Drosophila melanogaster: one gene and its partners. The gene in region 3 interacts genetically with the main gene of each other region. Each region holds a gene or a part of one and is shown on either strand. Other genes may lie near its edges.

The links.
Region 1: of Gcn2 (region 3) and slif, changing one suppresses a phenotype caused by changing the other (phenotypic suppression), as found in Drosophila melanogaster (one study listed by BioGRID).
Region 2: of Gcn2 (region 3) and GABA-B-R1, changing one suppresses a phenotype caused by changing the other (phenotypic suppression), as found in Drosophila melanogaster (one study listed by BioGRID).

The regions. Positions count from the first base shown.
Region 1 is NT_037436.4:22,877,696-22,883,741, forward strand, and holds the start of slif (slimfast), read left to right. Parts: upstream 1-3,349; 5' UTR 3,350-3,703; intron 3,704-6,046. Other genes in the region: Chro (chromator), read right to left, coding at 1-180, 242-299; Ssl1 (suppressor of stem-loop mutation), read left to right, coding at 1,671-1,735, 1,789-2,130, 2,183-3,092.
Region 2 is NT_033779.5:15,013,180-15,019,225, reverse strand, and holds the start of GABA-B-R1 (metabotropic GABA-B receptor subtype 1), read right to left. Parts: upstream 2,896-6,046; 5' UTR 1,830-2,895; intron 1-1,829.
Region 3 is NT_033777.3:31,392,638-31,398,683, forward strand, and holds the start of Gcn2 (Gcn2), read left to right. Parts: upstream 1-3,022; 5' UTR 3,023-3,353; coding exon 3,354-3,419; intron 3,420-3,485; coding exon 3,486-3,655; intron 3,656-3,764; coding exon 3,765-4,276; intron 4,277-4,348; coding exon 4,349-4,976; intron 4,977-5,029; coding exon 5,030-5,602; intron 5,603-5,667; coding exon 5,668-5,844; intron 5,845-5,908; coding exon 5,909-6,046. Other genes in the region: CG31204 (uncharacterized protein), read right to left, coding at 1-815; Ugt35D1 (UDP-glycosyltransferase family 35 member D1), read right to left, coding at 992-2,325, 2,386-2,617.

The DNA of each region.
Region 1 (6,046 bases), on a different chromosome or scaffold from region 3:
TAGCTTTCCATAGCGTAAAAGCCCAGATGGTGGGCTTGGGATCGAGCGATTCCTTCAAATTTGCATTTTCCTTTTCGCAGGCGTCCTCTTTGTGGGCCTGAAACTCTTCCACGAAGTTGTAGGCCCGGAGACATCGTCCACATACAAGAACGTCCATGTTTGCCAATTCCTCCTGTGCAGCTGCAGGGCAGAACACAAAATTAACAATAAAAATTATTTACCAATGTTTTTAGTCACTCACCTCTTATAATGTTTGCGTGTTTGCCGATTTCCGTAGGTGAAATCTCCTGTGCCAACATTATTCACGACTCCAGCGCCCAAGCCTTTGAAGAGAGCATTTAAAGTGTGACTTAAAAATAGTGCTGAATGGAGTCTTATTATTTGTTATTGCTTGGTTTTGAAATATTGGTAAACGGCGAAGAAAAAGTACAGTGCCGTGGTGTGTTTGTGCTAACTTGAACCAGGTGGCAACGCGAACGGTCGCTGTCTGCGGTGTGTGTCCGATATGGTGAGTTCAAGCATATGTACATCTGCAATGGGCAAAATGCAGCGGCGCTTAGGCAGCCGAAAAAAAACACTAAGTACATTATGAAAAGAACGAGCCTGCCGCACTGTTGTAGATATATAATATAATAAAACACAGAAAAGCACGAACTATGCGTAATGCGACTTTATTAGTTACTTAAACTTATCTGTTACAAATGCATTTGAACTTCAACACAGCTAAAAATTAAAATAAATAAAACCCTATGGTTCGATCCTATTTGTTTTCATTTAAAAAAAAGGATTACATATAGTTTAAATAATATCAAAGTTCACAATTTCATTTTGCCCGCTAAACCTTGCAGGCACTAGATATAGGCCAGGTATGATTGCAAATAAGCCTATTCCACATATCATTAAATTAAAAGATTTCTCTAGAACACTTTGGTACACACCTTCATAAACAATTTTGGATAAATATCAAACTGAATGTTGTTTCAAACGGTTATTTTAATTTAACTGACTCCCGATTTTTCAACACGAGCAGCTCCACTGCTGCTCACAGTTGTACGCGCGAACTCTGAATGCCAAAAGCGAAATTCGGCTGCACGGAAATTGTCCAGAGATGATTTGGTTCCGGCTGTGCGGACCTTAGAATGCTCTTCTGTGCTAAGCTATTTAAATCCTAATATTACTGGGAGTGTATTGCCTGTCGATAGCTTTAAACTAACTGCAGTCCAGTAAATTTTAAGATTTCGAAGGTTTTTTCGAATATAGTATATGATATAAAACGCGGGTTTCAATGCTTGCACGGTTTTAAGTGCCCAAACTTAGGGTGTAGCGCCCTTTTCAGTTCGCCCGTGTGGCGGTGCACTTAGTTAGCCAATTACGCGTCGTGGTGGGTATATTTATTGATGTGGCAACTTTGGGCGCAATAATAATAATATTGTACTTTTTTTGTTCATATTAGGTAAGAAATTCGAAATTATTTTTTATTATTTCATTTTATTATGTCATTCTTTTGTAGATATTTATTGATATAAATACTTACCCAGGGTTGCCACCCAGTGTATTGTATTTAACGTAGGCCCTGTGTGTACACACTGTTACATTAGCCGGCGCATTTTATTTAGCGTTAATTGCTTTTCTTTCTTGATTTGACTTGGTAGTGCATCAGGACTGCAAGTATGGCCGACGATGAGCAAGAGGACCAGAAGGAGTACCGCTGGGAAACGGGCTATGAAAAGACATGGTGCGATGGTGTGCGTGACAATGTAAGCCCGCACTTACTTTTAATCCTATTAGGGAGGCCATCAAGGACGACGAGGATGGGATGCTGGATGGAGCCATTGCAGAGATCATTCAGAAGGCCAAACGCCAGAGGCAGGCTCAAAAGTCCAAGCAGAACCGCCTGGGCATGATGCGCCACATGTTCGTTGTGCTCGATTGCTCTGAGTCCATGAGCGTGCCTGATTTGAAACCCACACGACTGCGGTGCACCGTCAAGCTGCTGGAGCTGTTTATCGAGGAGTTCTTCGATCAGAACCCCATCAGCCAATTAGGACTCATAGCGCTAAAAGCTAAGCGAGCGGAGAAGGTGACCGAACTTACCGGCACTTCGCGCGTGCACCTCAAAGCGCTAGAGAGGTAAGAACCGAATCAAACCAGCGTTCTCCATTTATATCCCCTTTTTGTTTAGCTTGGCTAACGTGTCCTTGACCAGCGAGCCTTCGCTGCAAAATGGCCTAGATCTGGCCCTAAAATCGCTTAAGGTGGTGCCGTCGCACGCCTCCCGAGAGATCGTCATTATCATGGGCTCGCTCACCACATGTGATCCTGTCGATATTAACCTCACCATCGACGAGTTAAAAAAGGAGGGCATACGCTGCTCGGTTATTTCCCTGTCCGCTGAGATTCACGTGGCCCGCTACCTCACTCAGCAAACAATGGGCACCTTCGGGGCTGTTTTGGATGATGCACATTTTCGGGATCAACTCATGTCTCAGGTAGATCCACCGCCCGCCGCTAAGACTCAGCACAACTCGCTTATTCGCATGGGCTTCCCGCACACAAAGAATGAAGTTGAGGGCAAGGACGCGCCATTGTCCATGTGCATGTGCCACATAGAGAACTTGGAGGAGCCCAGTGAACTGACCACTACTGGCCACCACTGCCCGCAATGCAACAGCAAGTACTGCGAGCTGCCCGTGGAGTGCCAGTCTTGCGGCCTCACCCTGGTCTCCGCGCCGCACTTGGCGCGTTCCTACCACCACCTTTTCCCGGTGCCAAATTTTGAGGAACTGCCGTTTGAGGCGATGCCTGCTTCGTCATCCGACCTCACCAGCGATGTCAGGGAATGTTACGGCTGCGCCAAAGCTCTTGGGCAAGGCGTTGACAAGGTCGCCGATAAAGTCGTCTTCAGATGCGGTTTCTGCAAGCAGTTCTTCTGCGTTGACTGCGACATCTTCATTCACGACACATTGCACGCCTGCGTGGGATGCAACACCATTCCCGGCGTAGACGGTCTGGTTTACCAGCAAAGTTCCAAGTCTGACCAGGTTGATGCACACCCAGGGCCCTCAAAGCAGCGCGGCCAGTGTGGGATGTAACTGACTTTCTATAGATAGATATTTCGAACTTCCACATAACTACGCATTTGGGGCAAACAAAATACAGTTCGTTTCGAAACGGTGGTTATGAGTTGTATCAATTAAAATCTGGTTTTATGCTTAATAATTGTGAAGGCGAGCGTAGCATTATTATGGCCGTTGTGTGAGACCCTCTCAATTGTATTGCTAATTACTTGGTCATAGGCTCTCTGTGCCGCTTCATGCGAACTTGGCGCACTTTTGTCTAGAGCTCGCTTGAGTTCATCATCAGCGTTTGCCGCATTCGGTCGGGTTTAGTTGCGATTCAATCCAAAAGCTCTCGGCACCCACAGGTGTTCTCGTTGGAACTTTAGCTTTATAGATGTTAACCCGCGTTGGTGTTGTGAATTTTGAAGAGCCAGAACTTTTGTTCAGTGGGAGACCGATGTGACGTGGATATACTGCTCTGTGACACCATAAACAATTTATGAAGATCAATGACGCTGCTTTAAACTAGTATTAAACCAGTTAGAGGCCAGCTAAACCGCCACAACTGTCTATTACCTTATAAAGTTCAACATTTAATTGAAGATTCATAAGCATTCCGAAGGTCTACCATAAAAATCAAAAATGTATGTACATATATTGTGTTATTGTTATTAATAATTGGTTGTTTTTAAAGTTTCTAAATTTTTTTAAAAAGATAACTATTAGACTTATGCTTTTTGATTTTAGAGTTACAATACAAATTCTTTATGCGGTTTCTAAAAGATGCGAGCAAATGGCATCAATAATAGATAATAAAACATAAATAAAAGCTTTTAATTTGTATATATAAATTGGTCTAAATGTAGCTTGTAAATAATAGGTTCAAATGGTATGTAACTTGCGGCAAAATGCAATAGGATAAAAAATCAACAAAGCGAGCCGTGCGGGCTTTAAGATATGTACGGCTATGTATGGCTAGATCGGTAATCAAGAATGTAAATACTTTATATACTGTTATACATTGTAACTTTATAATTCCCAGCGGAACAAGACGTACTCGTAGTAATTTTATATAACTCCATATATCTCTTGAATAGCGAACAAGCAATGGCGATGAAATAAAAGATATTTTATAAACTGTCCGAATTGGATCCACATATTATTAGCGCTTGAGTCTAACATTCGCGATCATTTATAAGCCCATATGTGTTTTAAGGTATACAATTTCTATTTCTTTGTTACTATTGGTTCTAAAGTCTGTCATAGAATTCGTTAACTAAGAACTTGACCTTCAGAGACCATCTGGGCAACAGCAGTCAGAATAATATCCGTCAATTAAAGTTGTTTTAGACGCAAATAGCACGACTAGTCTCTCTCGTTAATTACTGACTAGCCCAGCGACTAACCCATGCCAGCTTTCATTAATTTACCCGTATGCATTTGAGCAATATAAAGACGCTTCCGCATCGCACCCCGCACAAAAGCGCGAAATCACAATCACAAATCTGGTGATAATTATATGTGAAAGTGGAATGAATCAGATAATAAATGTCGCTCTTAATTGTATTTTCATTTGTGTGTACATATATATGTACATATGTACATATAGTACATATGTATGTAGTTGAAGGAGTAAAGAGTTCGCGTCCTGGTCCAGTCCAGCCAATGCAGGCAAAATTGCTTCGCTAATTTATTCAACGCTGCCCGAGAATGACTAACTGAAATTTGAGGGACTAGGTCGCCTTTGATACGAAAAAGTTCTGTGCGGCTAATCACTTTCTAATCAGTAAGTTATTTCTCGTGCAGGCAACGCAACTCATTGATTGGTAGAGTTATTTGCATTGTTCAGAAGTCGGTTGAAATTGCTTTGAATGGCTTGTAATTTGCCATCGCTGTTTAAAATTTGATGTTTCCGAGTCGACTTTGAGCGCAATAAAAGTGAAGTGATAAATCCAAATCAAGCCGCCCAGACGGAAGCGCAAATCGGAGGACGGGAAGCTCCACATTGGCATTGTGTTTATTTCGTTGGGAGGCACCTCCTTCGAGCTTCTGGGGTCGAGCCCATATCGTGCTGGTTTAAATTTAATTGTTGCTAAATGAATGACACGAGTGTCGAAAATGAAGGGGAGCGTTTATTATCAGATTTAAATAACTATATCGCTTCATAATTAAATTAGAGCGCAGTCGGTGGGAGAATTTTTATTTGCTTGCGGATGCATTAACTTTACAAACAAATAGAAATTATCCATTCTATTTGTTTTTCAGCTGCTTTGAAAATAAACCTCAACAAGAACTCCTCCTTCAGCAACATCAACTACATCAACAAATGACTTCCGGGCAATTAAAATGAAAATGATAATCCTATTTCCCCACCCCCTTTCGCCACCCAAACCCACATGGATATTAATTAATTGTATAAAAACAAGGATTTAACAAAAACCCACCGATTAATGTCGGTAAACTCGGTTTTTTTCACCCACACACCTCCGAACGCAATTATGCAATAAATGCCTCAAAATGTTTGCACAACTTTTAATTATAAATGTTGAATTGCTAATTTGAAATATGGCGAATGCAAATCGCTGGGCGTTGGACGGCGTGAAAGACTAGCCTCGCCACGCCCCTCGAGGGGCTTGCATGCCCTTGCAGAGGGTATACTGACTTCTGTTAAAAGTCAGTAGAGCAGCGATATAAATATATACATACATATATATTATTGATCAGTATCAACAGTCGAGTCGATATGCCCATCTTCGTCTGTAAGTCAATCAGTCCCTGGTTTTGGAAGCTACATGAAACATCTTCTTTTTTTCTATAAATCGGAAATGGAACTGGTCCGGGACTACTATATCACATAGCTGGTAAAGGATCTAACAAAAAATAAATTTAAAAAAAAAATGTAACTTCGTTGTTATTTCTCAGAGACTTTTTTGATTCTTTATACGAACTGTTGTTGTCTGATAACACCTAATTTATTTTTGAAATTT
Region 2 (6,046 bases), on a different chromosome or scaffold from region 3:
GGCGCCTGAGTTTTATGGCTTTTACCCGCCACGCCCCCGCCCCTTCATCTGTCCGCATCCCCTTTGGCAATGTTCTAAACTCCTGCCAGCAATATTTTTCTATAAAAAAAAAAAAACAGAATAGAACTTTTATGTGGGAGAAGCCTTTTTATCTCTATGTCCTGCGTGTGCGAGGTACTCACATACACACCGATACGTAAAACCATATAGGGCAAAAAAAAAATATAACTTAAAGTATGAATTGTATTATATATTTTACCGTCAGCACGTTTCATAATTTATTACGGTACTAAAATATTTAATTTAAGAGTGCCTTCTCGGTTGTTCTAGACATAATATATCATATTAAAGAGTGGTCTTGATTGAAATCTGCTTGTAAGTGAATATAAAATAGATGGCACATTTTGAAGGCTTTTATAGTTATAAAACCTTAAATCTTAATTAAACAAAGCATAGTTCCCTTTGAAATATATCTTAATTCTGAACATATTTGTATTTAAAATTGATAGAAAACTTAAATGTTTGCACTAACACAAATATATACTGATGCTAATTTGCCAGGATTTATTGATTTAGTGTTTCCTTTCAGTTTCCTTCATAATTAGCCTATTAATCAACTGAACTAACAGTGCGTATACGTATTTTGAGGATTGATTGCTCGACTTTAGTGGGTGATGAATGCGATGCAAGTCAGAAATCAACTAAAGTTTTTTTGTGTTTGAGGATGTAAAAAATACAAAGCCATAATGTGGCGATGCCATTACCGGTTATTTGTGTTGGTTGGATGATGAATGACAGTTTTTCATGCACAAATACGGCGTCTTTTTTAGCATAAAACCTTTTTACAGTGTTTGCATACGAGCCGCGTGTGTTATTGAATGGAAATGCTGTCGGTTTAGCACAAACATGCATACATATATGTATGTATGTACATCGCCGCAGCGTCACTCCAAATTTGTTTGCCAGTTAATCGCACTGAGGCGCGTTAATCATGGCGGTGTGTTAAGGACGAATAAAAGGTGGTGGTGCTGTGGATAATTTTGGTGGCTACGGGGTGGCTCACTTAACTAAGGTGTGGTTGCAGATTTGGCGAGTTGACACCTTTGACGTAGAGTTGCCGCTGAAGAGGCGCTGATGAGAGGGGATGGTCGTCAAGGGGCTAACTTCCTAGTGACCTAGTTTACAAACCTTCGCACACATACACACACACAGACTTTAAACATTAATTACGTCGGGAATTCTGCACAAATGCGACAAATGCTTCACTTCACTTCACTGCCTTCCCACCTGCTCTCTTCATACCTACACAGAACAAAAAGGAGTGATCGTAGATGATGATCGGTTTACTCTTCTCAAAAGCAATATAAAAAAGATATAGATTTCAGATTCTATGAAAGATCTATGCATCTTGTCGGCGAAAAAACAAAAATATATCAAATTTGTATTGAAAAATAATTTTAACAATTTAATTTGAGTTAGAAAGAGTTTTGTGGTACGATCATTGTAATGACCATCAATCCGGGATATCATTTTAACTATTATTTTCCTGTACTACAACCAATAAATATCATATATCATTCTTTCCTTTCTTTCTTTTATTTGTACTTCTCAAATCATTTTGATTTCACTTGGCTTAAAACATACATATATTTCCACTGACCATTCATCACTTGTCCATCTCCTAGAATCTTTGAACCATGAGGGTTTAATTTTTTTTAACATCCCTGGGAATTAGCTGCTCACATTTTTGCAAGTGTATTCTCTCCGCCTCTCTTCGCGGCACTCTACACCTTTCTATTGCCATCTCGCTCACTTTACACTTCACTTACTTTGCGTATTGCCGTTTAAAAATGCGATGTTGCGGTTGTTGTTGTTGTTGTTTCCTGCTTTGCTACTACTGCTTCCTCTTCTTCTCGGCCTCCGTTTTATCCTTTGCCGATGTTTTTGTCTCTGTCTTTGTCTGCTCCTTTGCTCCTTTGGCCGGTGCTTCAATTGTTTCATAAGACGCTTCTTCTTTTTCGCTGCTCCTTTTGCTTGGGCAGGGTCGTAGGGGGTGTTGGATGGAGGGGGTGCTGCCAAAGGGGGTCAGGGGCCAAATCAGTGTTTGTTGTTGATTTGGTTGTTGTTGTTGTTGTTATTGTTGCTATTATCGCTGTCGCGGCGGCGTTGTTCAAACATAATTTGATGACTGCGCATTACAATCGATAATCCCATGCACAAATGCAGCTCAGCACATCGGCATTGCCTTAAATCCATTTTAATGAGAACGGATCCCGATAATTCCGTAATCCCCAAATGATGGCAATTCCTTTGCAGGTCCTGCTGTCACTGCCTTTTTTTGCTGTGCTCTCTCCTCCCTTTTCTTTTTTATTTTTTATATATGTTTGTTGCACTTTCACAAATAATTCGAGAAAAAACTGAGATGTGAGGGGCGTGAGCTTTTTTTTTGTCAACTTTGTTTGAGTTTGCGGTGTGTTCTGTGTAACTGTGCTATATGCTATATGCTATGTATATTACTTTGTACAACTTTTCTACATTACTATATCAGATTTACGTTGAATTCCTTATCAAACTAGTAAGCTTCTGACTATGAGGGGCATGAATTATTAATGTATTCGTTTTATTTCACTTGCTTTCTAGCTGTAACACACTTCACTTTATCAATTCCCGCACCGTAATTCCATTTAACGCGTATTTCTTTTTGCAGGTATTCAGTTCTGCGGGAGTTATATCTTATGCACAGAGTGGTGTTTTCGCTCCTGCTCCTTATTTGTCTATTTTTTGTACAGACTTTTTCGCATTGTATTCGGGGGATGAGACGCGAGAGGCTCCTGCTGTGTTCGTTGTGTTCCACATGTATCCGACGACTGGAACTCCATGACTGACATTTACGTTTTCGCCTCGCCAGGACGAAAGCTTAGAGCACGAGAGCTTTTCGGTGGGAAAGCTCGTGCTTCCGCTTTTCCACTTTTCCAGTTGCCAAGTCAAGTCGGGTTTTTTGAAGTTTCGCTTTTTCAGTTTGCTGGCCAAGTCGAAAGTCGCGAAACTCTCCGGGCAATTACGTTTACTTTGTGGGTGGGTGTAGCGGGGTGTAGGTGGGTGGTAGTTGGACGGTAATTGGGGGTTGGGCGCAAGGACGAGGGCGGGCTTAAGGACACCGGTTTTATAGAGTTGTCAAATGGCCCCAGGAATGGCCAGTCAAAACATCAAAATTCACTCGCAATTGGCCAAGGGCAATGCGAAAAACCAACAACAAGGAGCAAGTGCCACTAGGCCAACCGGGAAACAGGATGGGGGCATTGTTTTGAAAGCGAAAGGCCATAATGCTTGCACGCCACAATCCCGAGCCGCAGTCAAAGCCAAAGTTGAGTTTCATTTTTGGGGTCGCGTCGCCTCATCGAGCCAAACATGCAAACACGCACGGGCCAAAGCCAAAGCCGAAGCCCAAGGAAGGCAAGGTGAGGTCCTTGTCATTTAACTCACTTGTCGAGTTGACCTTTGTTCGCTTGGTTGCCGTGCTCCACCATAGAGCTAATGCCCAACTGCCACGCCTTGAGCTTGATCCATAGCAACTTGTACTTTTGTGTCCCCTCGCAAAACCCCCCCCCAAACCGCTCGACAAAAAAAGGGGAAACCCTGAAATATACAGCTAACCCCCCTTCACCAAACACACTTGGCTCTAAATACAAACTTGCCCCCCCCTGCTGATGGCCATGTGCATGTTTGATGAGCTTATCAAGGCTCCGGGATTATTGAATATTTTCAAATCGATATAGCCGTGCCAGCCACACCGTTAGTTGGCACCTTAATTGCCAACTGAATAAATCATTGACAATTTTGCAATTAGTTCGAGAACCTCAACTGTCCGCTCAAGTCGAAGGATTCTGCGGTCAAAAATAAACCATTTGCATTGGCCCAAAAGTAGTCAAGCCAAGAAATTGGAAGTTTTCCCATCGTCGACTTGGGAAATCAATTACTCAAATATTTATGTCCGCATGTGGAATTCGGGTATGCTGAAATGCACTTGTCTTGAACTCTGCCAGTGAATAAATGGCAATCGAAATTGCTGAGCGGATTAAATAACTTTCAGATGTGTGAATACGAGGGCATGGGTTATGGCCTATATTTGCACTGCCGTATAGGTTACAGAACGCACTTATTGTTTAGATATTTGAATTGATTTCATAGACAGTTAGAGCAGAAACGGCACTAATTAAACCAAATCCACTCAAGAGCAAATTGGTAAACAGCAGTTTGAAAATTAACATTGCGCAATTGTTATGCATTGATAAATTGATGATTTATTTATGAATTTTCTGTATTCCAATGTTATTTTGGCATAGGCCAGCTATTATTTTGAACTCTGATTTTGATTTCTAGTTCACTCTAAATTCACGTTTTAATTACATAAAATTATAAATGTTTTCAGTGAAATATTTAGCGAATTTGCTTTGAATAGAACGTTTATTTTATGTTATGGTAATCTCCTAAAACTATTCAATAAAATGAAAGTTATTATTGAATGGGCGATTTAAAACATTTGCAGGCACAGCTGCAATCAGCAATCAACATGAAATAGTGTGATAATGTTAATTGAAAAGATTGTGGCTTGTTATGGATTTCCATGAAAAGAGAAAAAATGCATAATGTTTTATTGTAAATATATAAATATATTCTGTTAAAATGAAATTATAAGTTTTTTAAAGAATAGTATATTTAAATAAGCATAAGATTACGGAAGTAACTGCTTGACAACCCTTTCATATTGGCATGACATTTGAATTCAATGAGTCTGCATAGAATTCGCAAGCAAAACCCTTGCCAAGCCATAGAATTAAATGTAATTACTGAGCCAACATTCGGCCCCAAGTTGGCAATGTAGATGCCCCACTGTCGTGGTTGCACAAATGCATCCGACCGAGCCAAGAGTAACTACCACAACGAATGTGGCAACACTCAGGCATTGAGCAGGAGCAGGGTTCAAGTTTCTCTTTGGCCAGGAAAGAACCACAAAAGATTACCGAGCGATGAGCTGCAGCTCATCATCTTCACATCCTTTCAATGGGCGCCGCTAAGTCCTTGGGCACATATGTATATGTATGTATGTGTGGTATGCACAAATATGTGTGGAACGTTTCATTTTTTATACATCCCTTATTATTATTTCCACCGCACCCCCCTCTCCCCACGGTGCGCTCAACTTTTCTTCTCTTGTTTCGCTCTACCTTCTTTTTGGTTTTGTGTTAAATTGTTGCGTTAACCAAGCCAACCAGCTTCGGGGGCAATCCTTGTAAAAAGTTTAGCATAGCAGAAGGCGCACACAGACATGCTCGCAGCCATTCACACAGAGCCACCAACACAGTCGCACGCCTGGCATGCGTTTTTCACATTGTTTCATGCGGTTGAATAAACACAGGCGCACACACACACGCACATACCGTCAAAAGGCACGCACACACACACACACACTCATGCATTTTATGATCTGCACAAATAGGACCAAGAGAGTAAGAGCGCGAGGGGGAAAGACACACAGAGAGAGAGAGAGAGAGAGAGAGAGAGACGCAAAGACACTTATTCGCTCGCTTGCCTCGACAGGCTTACAAAACAAACATTGCGGCATGTTTTCTGTTTGCACACACTGCGTATACGTACCATGGTCCTTACATTTCCTACCTGCGCTTTGTCAGTGCCCAGCAGCACCAACACACCGACACACTACCTTCCACACAAACAAATTGCAGTCACGTACATATGCACATTACTCAGTTCGGCCTGGACAGCAGTTGTGGCACAGTCCTTAACCCTTGATCAGCTGGTAGATTTTAGTTTTCATCGTCGGATGGTAAAAATATATGTTGTTGGTATTATGTCATTGTATTGATATAAATAATATTTATTAATATTAAGCAAACAAAACAACCCCAAAGGTGTCTAAAGTATTTTACAATCGATTGTAACTTTTTCTTGAAATATGATTATGTAGCATACTTTTCAGGAGAGTCCTTTTAGGGCAGAACTCATCGCGCTCTGAAAACATATCTCG
Region 3 (6,046 bases):
ATGGGCAGCTCAAACAAAACCACTACAGGAGTAGGACTCTTGAAGTCAAAGGACTCCCTCAAGCAATCGTTCATCAGGGTGCTACCATTTTGCCTGCCTCGGGGCAAGCTCGTAAAGAACTCCACCAAATCTGGTCTGTTCTCGCTGCCGAAGATGTGAAACACCGAAAGATGAATCCGGTGCTCCAAGACCAGGCTATCCCGGTACACAATCTCGAAGTGCAAATAGTCATCACCGATCCCACGGCCTCTTAACAGGGCTAGATCATTAGTTAGCCACTGGTGCAGTTCCTTGGTGCTGGAGACACTTTTTCCGCTAGGCGAATCCCTTCGCCGCTTGGGAACGCCCTTGGGTTGCACCAGCATGTTGACCATGTCGAACTTCCGGACATCGAAGTAGTCCACATTAATTGCTTTTAGGCGGCAGCGCATCTCGACCATCAGTGAGTCGACTTCAGTGACCAAGAGACGTGTCAAGAGGCTGGGATTATGGTTTCTTTGGGATGAGATCCGCAGAAGACTTCCATTGCGACGGTGACGAAACATCTGACCTAGCATATCGCCCAACTCTGTCCTAATATGGCTATCAAATTCATAACCAATACCGTCGAACTCCAAGTGGCGGTAGTAACGAGGAGGCTCCATCGAGTTAGCAGGCTTAGTTGTGTTCTTCGGCATCCTCAACAGCATTGACTTGTGGTCCAAGATCCTGATGTCACTCTCCAGACTTTGATCATCCAAGTAAGCACGTCTCCTGGAATCTGTAAGAGCGACCAACACTACGTGATCCTTTTTGTTCGCCGGAGGTCTGTTCATGGTGAAGATTTTTTTTCTTTTTTTTTAGAATTTTAGAAAATTTTGAAAGCTGTAATTTCGACAGTCTAAAAGTAGAGTTTGAGATTAAAGACAAATAACTCATTTCATGATTGAAATCCAGTAAGTAAAACAACATTAAACTTGAAAAGTTTATTGGATTAACATTAAAAAAAACTTTACTGAATCTTCTTTATTGCCTCACATTTACCCCTTTTTATTAAAAAGAGGCATTTCCTTAAGGTCATAACCAACAGATATGTAACAATTCCCAGGATAACTAAAGCGCCAACCAAAAAAGTGCCGAAGACATCTAGACTGTGGTATCTTACAAAACCCAAGTCCTTGCCGGCGACTTGCATGTGAGCAGCTCCCTTGTGAGACAGGACATACTCGGTCCACCAGATCGCCGTTTCCATGGGCTTCATTGGTTGATCCCGATATCTGGCAGCCGTGATCCTTGCCGTTTCTTCGAAACTCTTGTTCGTTAGCAGCCGTATAATTGTAGACCTAAATTCCTCACTGGTCATTTGCTTTATGTTGAGGACCAAACCAAGACCCACTTGCCGGACATGATCCATATTTCGAAACTGATCGAATAGGCAGGGCAACCCCAACATGGGCTTTCCATGGTGAATACTCTCTATAGTGCTCAGTAGCCCGCCGTGGGTTATAAAGAGTTTTACATTGGGATGGGCCAGGATGGCCTGCTGCGGGAACCACTTACTAATGAAAACATTGGGGGGTTTTCCTGGCAGCAGTTCATCTTCGAACTTCCAAACGATTCGCTGTGGCAAGCTGGCGAAAGTCTCGAGCAATACCTTTCGACGATCCTCGGATAGCGATTTGCTTTTGACATTGGTTCCCAGTGAGAAATAGATTACCCCCGATTCACCAGCACCTTGGATAAAGTGGTCCAGTTCGGCGGACAGAGCCTCTGTGCTGTGATCGACATGCAGACCACCCACCTGGATCATATTCGGAACATAAGGACGAGGAGGACCCAGTGTGAAGTGCTGATTGACCAGGACCAAATCAAAGTTCCGGGATATCTCTGACAAGGGTTTCCGCTCAGCGACGCTGGGGAAAAATTGACTATAGAGAGTCTCCTGTTTTCTCACATGTCGCCATTTATAGTTCATATAAGAAAAAGTTCGCTCCATCAGGTGCAACAACCGCTCTCCATAGGCCTCCAGATCGTAGAATCGAGAAGAGGGAGACTGCAGGTAAGAAATCGGTGAGACGTTGCCCATCAGTTCGTCAATCTTCCAGTCGGTGCCATAGGAAGCCATTCCGATGATCGGGGCATCAAAATAGGCAGCCAGGCCACTGAGCACGTCCATTCGCCAGAGATCCATTATCACAAGATCGAAATGGGGCTTCTGTGGGCCTAGAATATCGCGCCTTACGCCCTCGTTATTCAGCACTGTCTTCGTAAGATTAAGGACATATTCGTTGATGAAATCACTACTTTGCCAGGTGCTCCTGGGAGTAGATGCAATCCTAAGGACCTCTGGAAAATATCGTAAGTATTTCTATTTGACAAATCAGATCTTTATTTATCTCATCTCACCATTAAAGTTTTCGAAAACCTCGGGAACTGGAATATCGTGTATATTCCTAAACGGCTCCCTTTGTGGATACGGACTTACACTGGTTATTTCGTGGCCCAGGGAGGCCAAACTCTTAAGGTAGGGTAAGGCGAAAAAGTAATGCGAAGAACTTGGCAAAGGGAACACTGCCAGGATGCGAGCACCTTCCGAGTAACCAGGAAGAAGACATACGAGCAGAAAGATTGGCGGCATTGTTGCACTTGGCAAGTTCTGCCTTCTAGACGAAATGGAAGACTGAATGCTGCAGATCGCCAATGAAAACTCTATTTCCATTTCAGATAACCTTAATCCGCTGCGCTTTGAGTACAATTGTCAAATTTTCAATTAGATAAGCAAAACCAACAAGGAATGTCAACAGTGAAGAGTGCTGTTAAATCGCTTATCGCGGAATCCCAGTGGGAGGAGTTTTCTTCTCTTTTCAATTAGTTATCATGGGAATAGGCCTCTTTGTGGGCAAGGCCTACGTTTGAAAACAAACACTTATCTATATTTTATTGAAAACCGACCATTGTCATTCTTCGGTTCAAAAGACAACGAAGTCGAACGTTGGCGCCAAGTATCGATAGTGCCAACATTGGACTTTCAGGCTTGTTATCGACACTTGTGCACCACTAGCCTTCAGTACAAAATACGCAAAAAATTTTCTTTTTCCGGAAAATTAAGTGGAAAGCGCAACAGGTTGTTCTCTTTACGCAACAAAAACGGCAGGAGTTCGCGTAGTAACTCATTTCACATCGAATTCAAGTCGAATACAGCAGCAAAGTAATGCAGCACGCAGCTGATTTGGAAACAGCTGCCAGCGCAGTTTGTGAAATTGCACACCGGCTAAAATAACCCGGTGGGAAATCCGAAGGAACTTCCGATCCAGTATTCCAAAGCACCCAGATGTAGCCAAGACTTATCCACTAACCGGAGATTTAATGCAGAAATGGCGGATGAAAAGGCCAAGGAATCCTTCCGCGAGCGGCAAGCGCAGGAGTTGGAGGTTATAAAGGTGAGCAGAGCAGGTGTTTCATCCAAGAAGCTGATACTAAAGGCTTATCTCCTTATCTTGGAACAGTCCATCTTTGGCTGTGATGTGGAGGACCTAAGACCCCAGGCGAATCCTTCCCTGTGGAAGCCAACGGACATACGGATACAACTTACCCCACTTCGAGACTCCTCGAACGGACTGGAAACCTATGTGTGCACCAAGCTGCACGTCACCTGTCCATCAAAGTATCCAAAATTGTAAGAGCCCAGTTCCACTTATTCTTAAAAAACTGAATTTTAAACTATAGAACTAACCACTAGAATGTGGAATGCATTACTCAAAATAAGTAAACCAAACTTTCCGCAGGCCCCCTAAGATATCTCTGGAGGAGTCCAAAGGCATGTCGGATCAGCTGCTGGAGGCCCTACGCAACCAATTGCAGGCTCAATCCCAAGAGCTACGTGGCGAAGTGATGATTTATGAATTGGCCCAGACCGTTCAGGCCTTTCTCCTCGAACACAACAAACCACCAAAGGGATCATTCTACGACCAGATGCTCCAGGATAAACAGAAGCGCGACCAGGAGCTACAGGACATACAGCGGCAGCGGGAGTCCCTGCAACGCCAGACGCTCATCGACGAGGTGGAGCGGCGCAAAGAGATGTTCAAAACGGAGGCTAAGAGGCGCGGCGAACCAAGGCGCAGCATGAGCGAGTCTAACCCACGGCATCCTAGCTCGTCGGAGAGCTCCGAGAACTCCTCGCCCTACTATCGTGGTCACATCTACCCCTCCAAATGCCTGGATCACCGCAACACGGAGACGCTCTACTTCCACAAGATGGGCAGGCAGATTCAGCGTGGATGCTGCGTTGGTGAGGGTTCGCTTTCCTAAAGAGAATTCCTGTTTTGAATGCGTCTGAACTAAGTAATTTATTGTGCGTAATTCCTAGGTCACTCCCAACGAGGTTGCATCGCCTACACTGGCATAGATATGCACTGCGGCCAGTTGCTCTACATAACAGAATGGAACATCAAGTACAGCCAACTGGAGCAGCCATGCATCGGCGGAGGCAAGTGCCACTGGAGCAGCGAGTCAAAGTGCATGGGCAGTCATCGTGTGGACGAAGTGATGGCCTCCATTGAAAAGCAGGTGTCCTCACTGTCCCAACTACAGCACAAAAACCTCGTCTCGTACGAGTGCGTACTGTGCATCAAGCGAAAGGAAGGTCTACTTGTGTATTTGGTCCAAGACTTCCTCCTTGGCACCAGCGTGTTCAGCATCTCCTCCTCGCTTGGCTGGTGCATGGACGGCGCACGAATGGTTGCGCGCGGCGTGCTGGACGCCTTAGTATTTCTTCACAACAAGGGTGTATCCCATAGTCACCTGCTCGACACCACTGTTTTTATGGACAACACAGGCAATGTGAGGGTATCAGACTTTTCGCTCGTTCCCAATCTTCTAGAACTTCTGAGCGGAGCTGGACAAAGCAGCAGTTGCGGGGACTTACCCGCGTTAGGTGCCCTGGTGGAGAGTTTGATGCCCACTAACAGTTACGAGATGCGCGACTTTGTAGACAAGTAATTAATTGTAATGAAAACTTAATCCTTTTTTAATTTAATGTTTTCTTTAGGTGTAACTCGGACCGAACTCTTTCCGCATCAGAGTTATTGGAGCATCCATTCTTACGCTTTTACGTCGACAATGGCCAGCAGCAGGTGATGCCATTACCACAGCAGCAACATCCTAACACCGTCCAGCGCACTGGATCCGCCATGCCGTACCAGATACCGACACTGGCCCTAAGCCAATCCCGCCTGCGAACGGAATTCGAGGTGCTCATGTACTTGGGAAAGGGTGCCTTTGGTGACGTGCTAAAGGTGCGCAACATTTTAGACAACCGAGAGTACGCCATCAAGCGCATACCATTGCCCGCGAGGAGTCGCCAGCTGTACAAAAAGATGACGCGCGAGGTGGAGCTTCTTTCGCGGCTGAATCATGAGAATGTAGTTCGATACTTTAACAGTTGGATAGAAAGTGTAGATGACGCAGATGCCGCTGAGATGGATAAGCTGCTGGGCGGTGAGTGGTCCCAGAGTCAGCAGGACCTTAGCGTAAAACCTGCCAAGTCACCACAGCTGGGGCCCACTTTAGAGGAGGACGAGGATGAAGAGGACAGCTCATCCAGCATGTGGAACGGTTACATGTAAAAATTAGCTTCTATGCTTCCTCTAATTTGAATTAACGCTAACACCTCTTCGTATCCATCAGACCCAACATGGAGGACTCTGATTCGGATGGCATTGAATTTGTGGACTCCAACGGCAAGGTGGCTGTCTACGACGACGAAGAGCAGGAGGATTCCACCAGAGGCAAGACCAATTCGCCAAAACCTTTGATGCAGGTCATGTACATCCAGATGGAGTTCTGTGAGAAATGCACATTGCGGTATGTTTTTCGAAAGCTTCACCAATTAAATAACTAATTAAATAACTATTTAATAATACTGTAGCACCGCCATCGATGACAATCTCTTCAATGACACGGATCGTCTGTGGCGCTTATTTCGGGAGATTGCCGAGGGTCTCGCGCATATTCACCAGCAAGGCATTATCCATCGGGACCTAAAGCCCGTTAACATCTTCTTGGA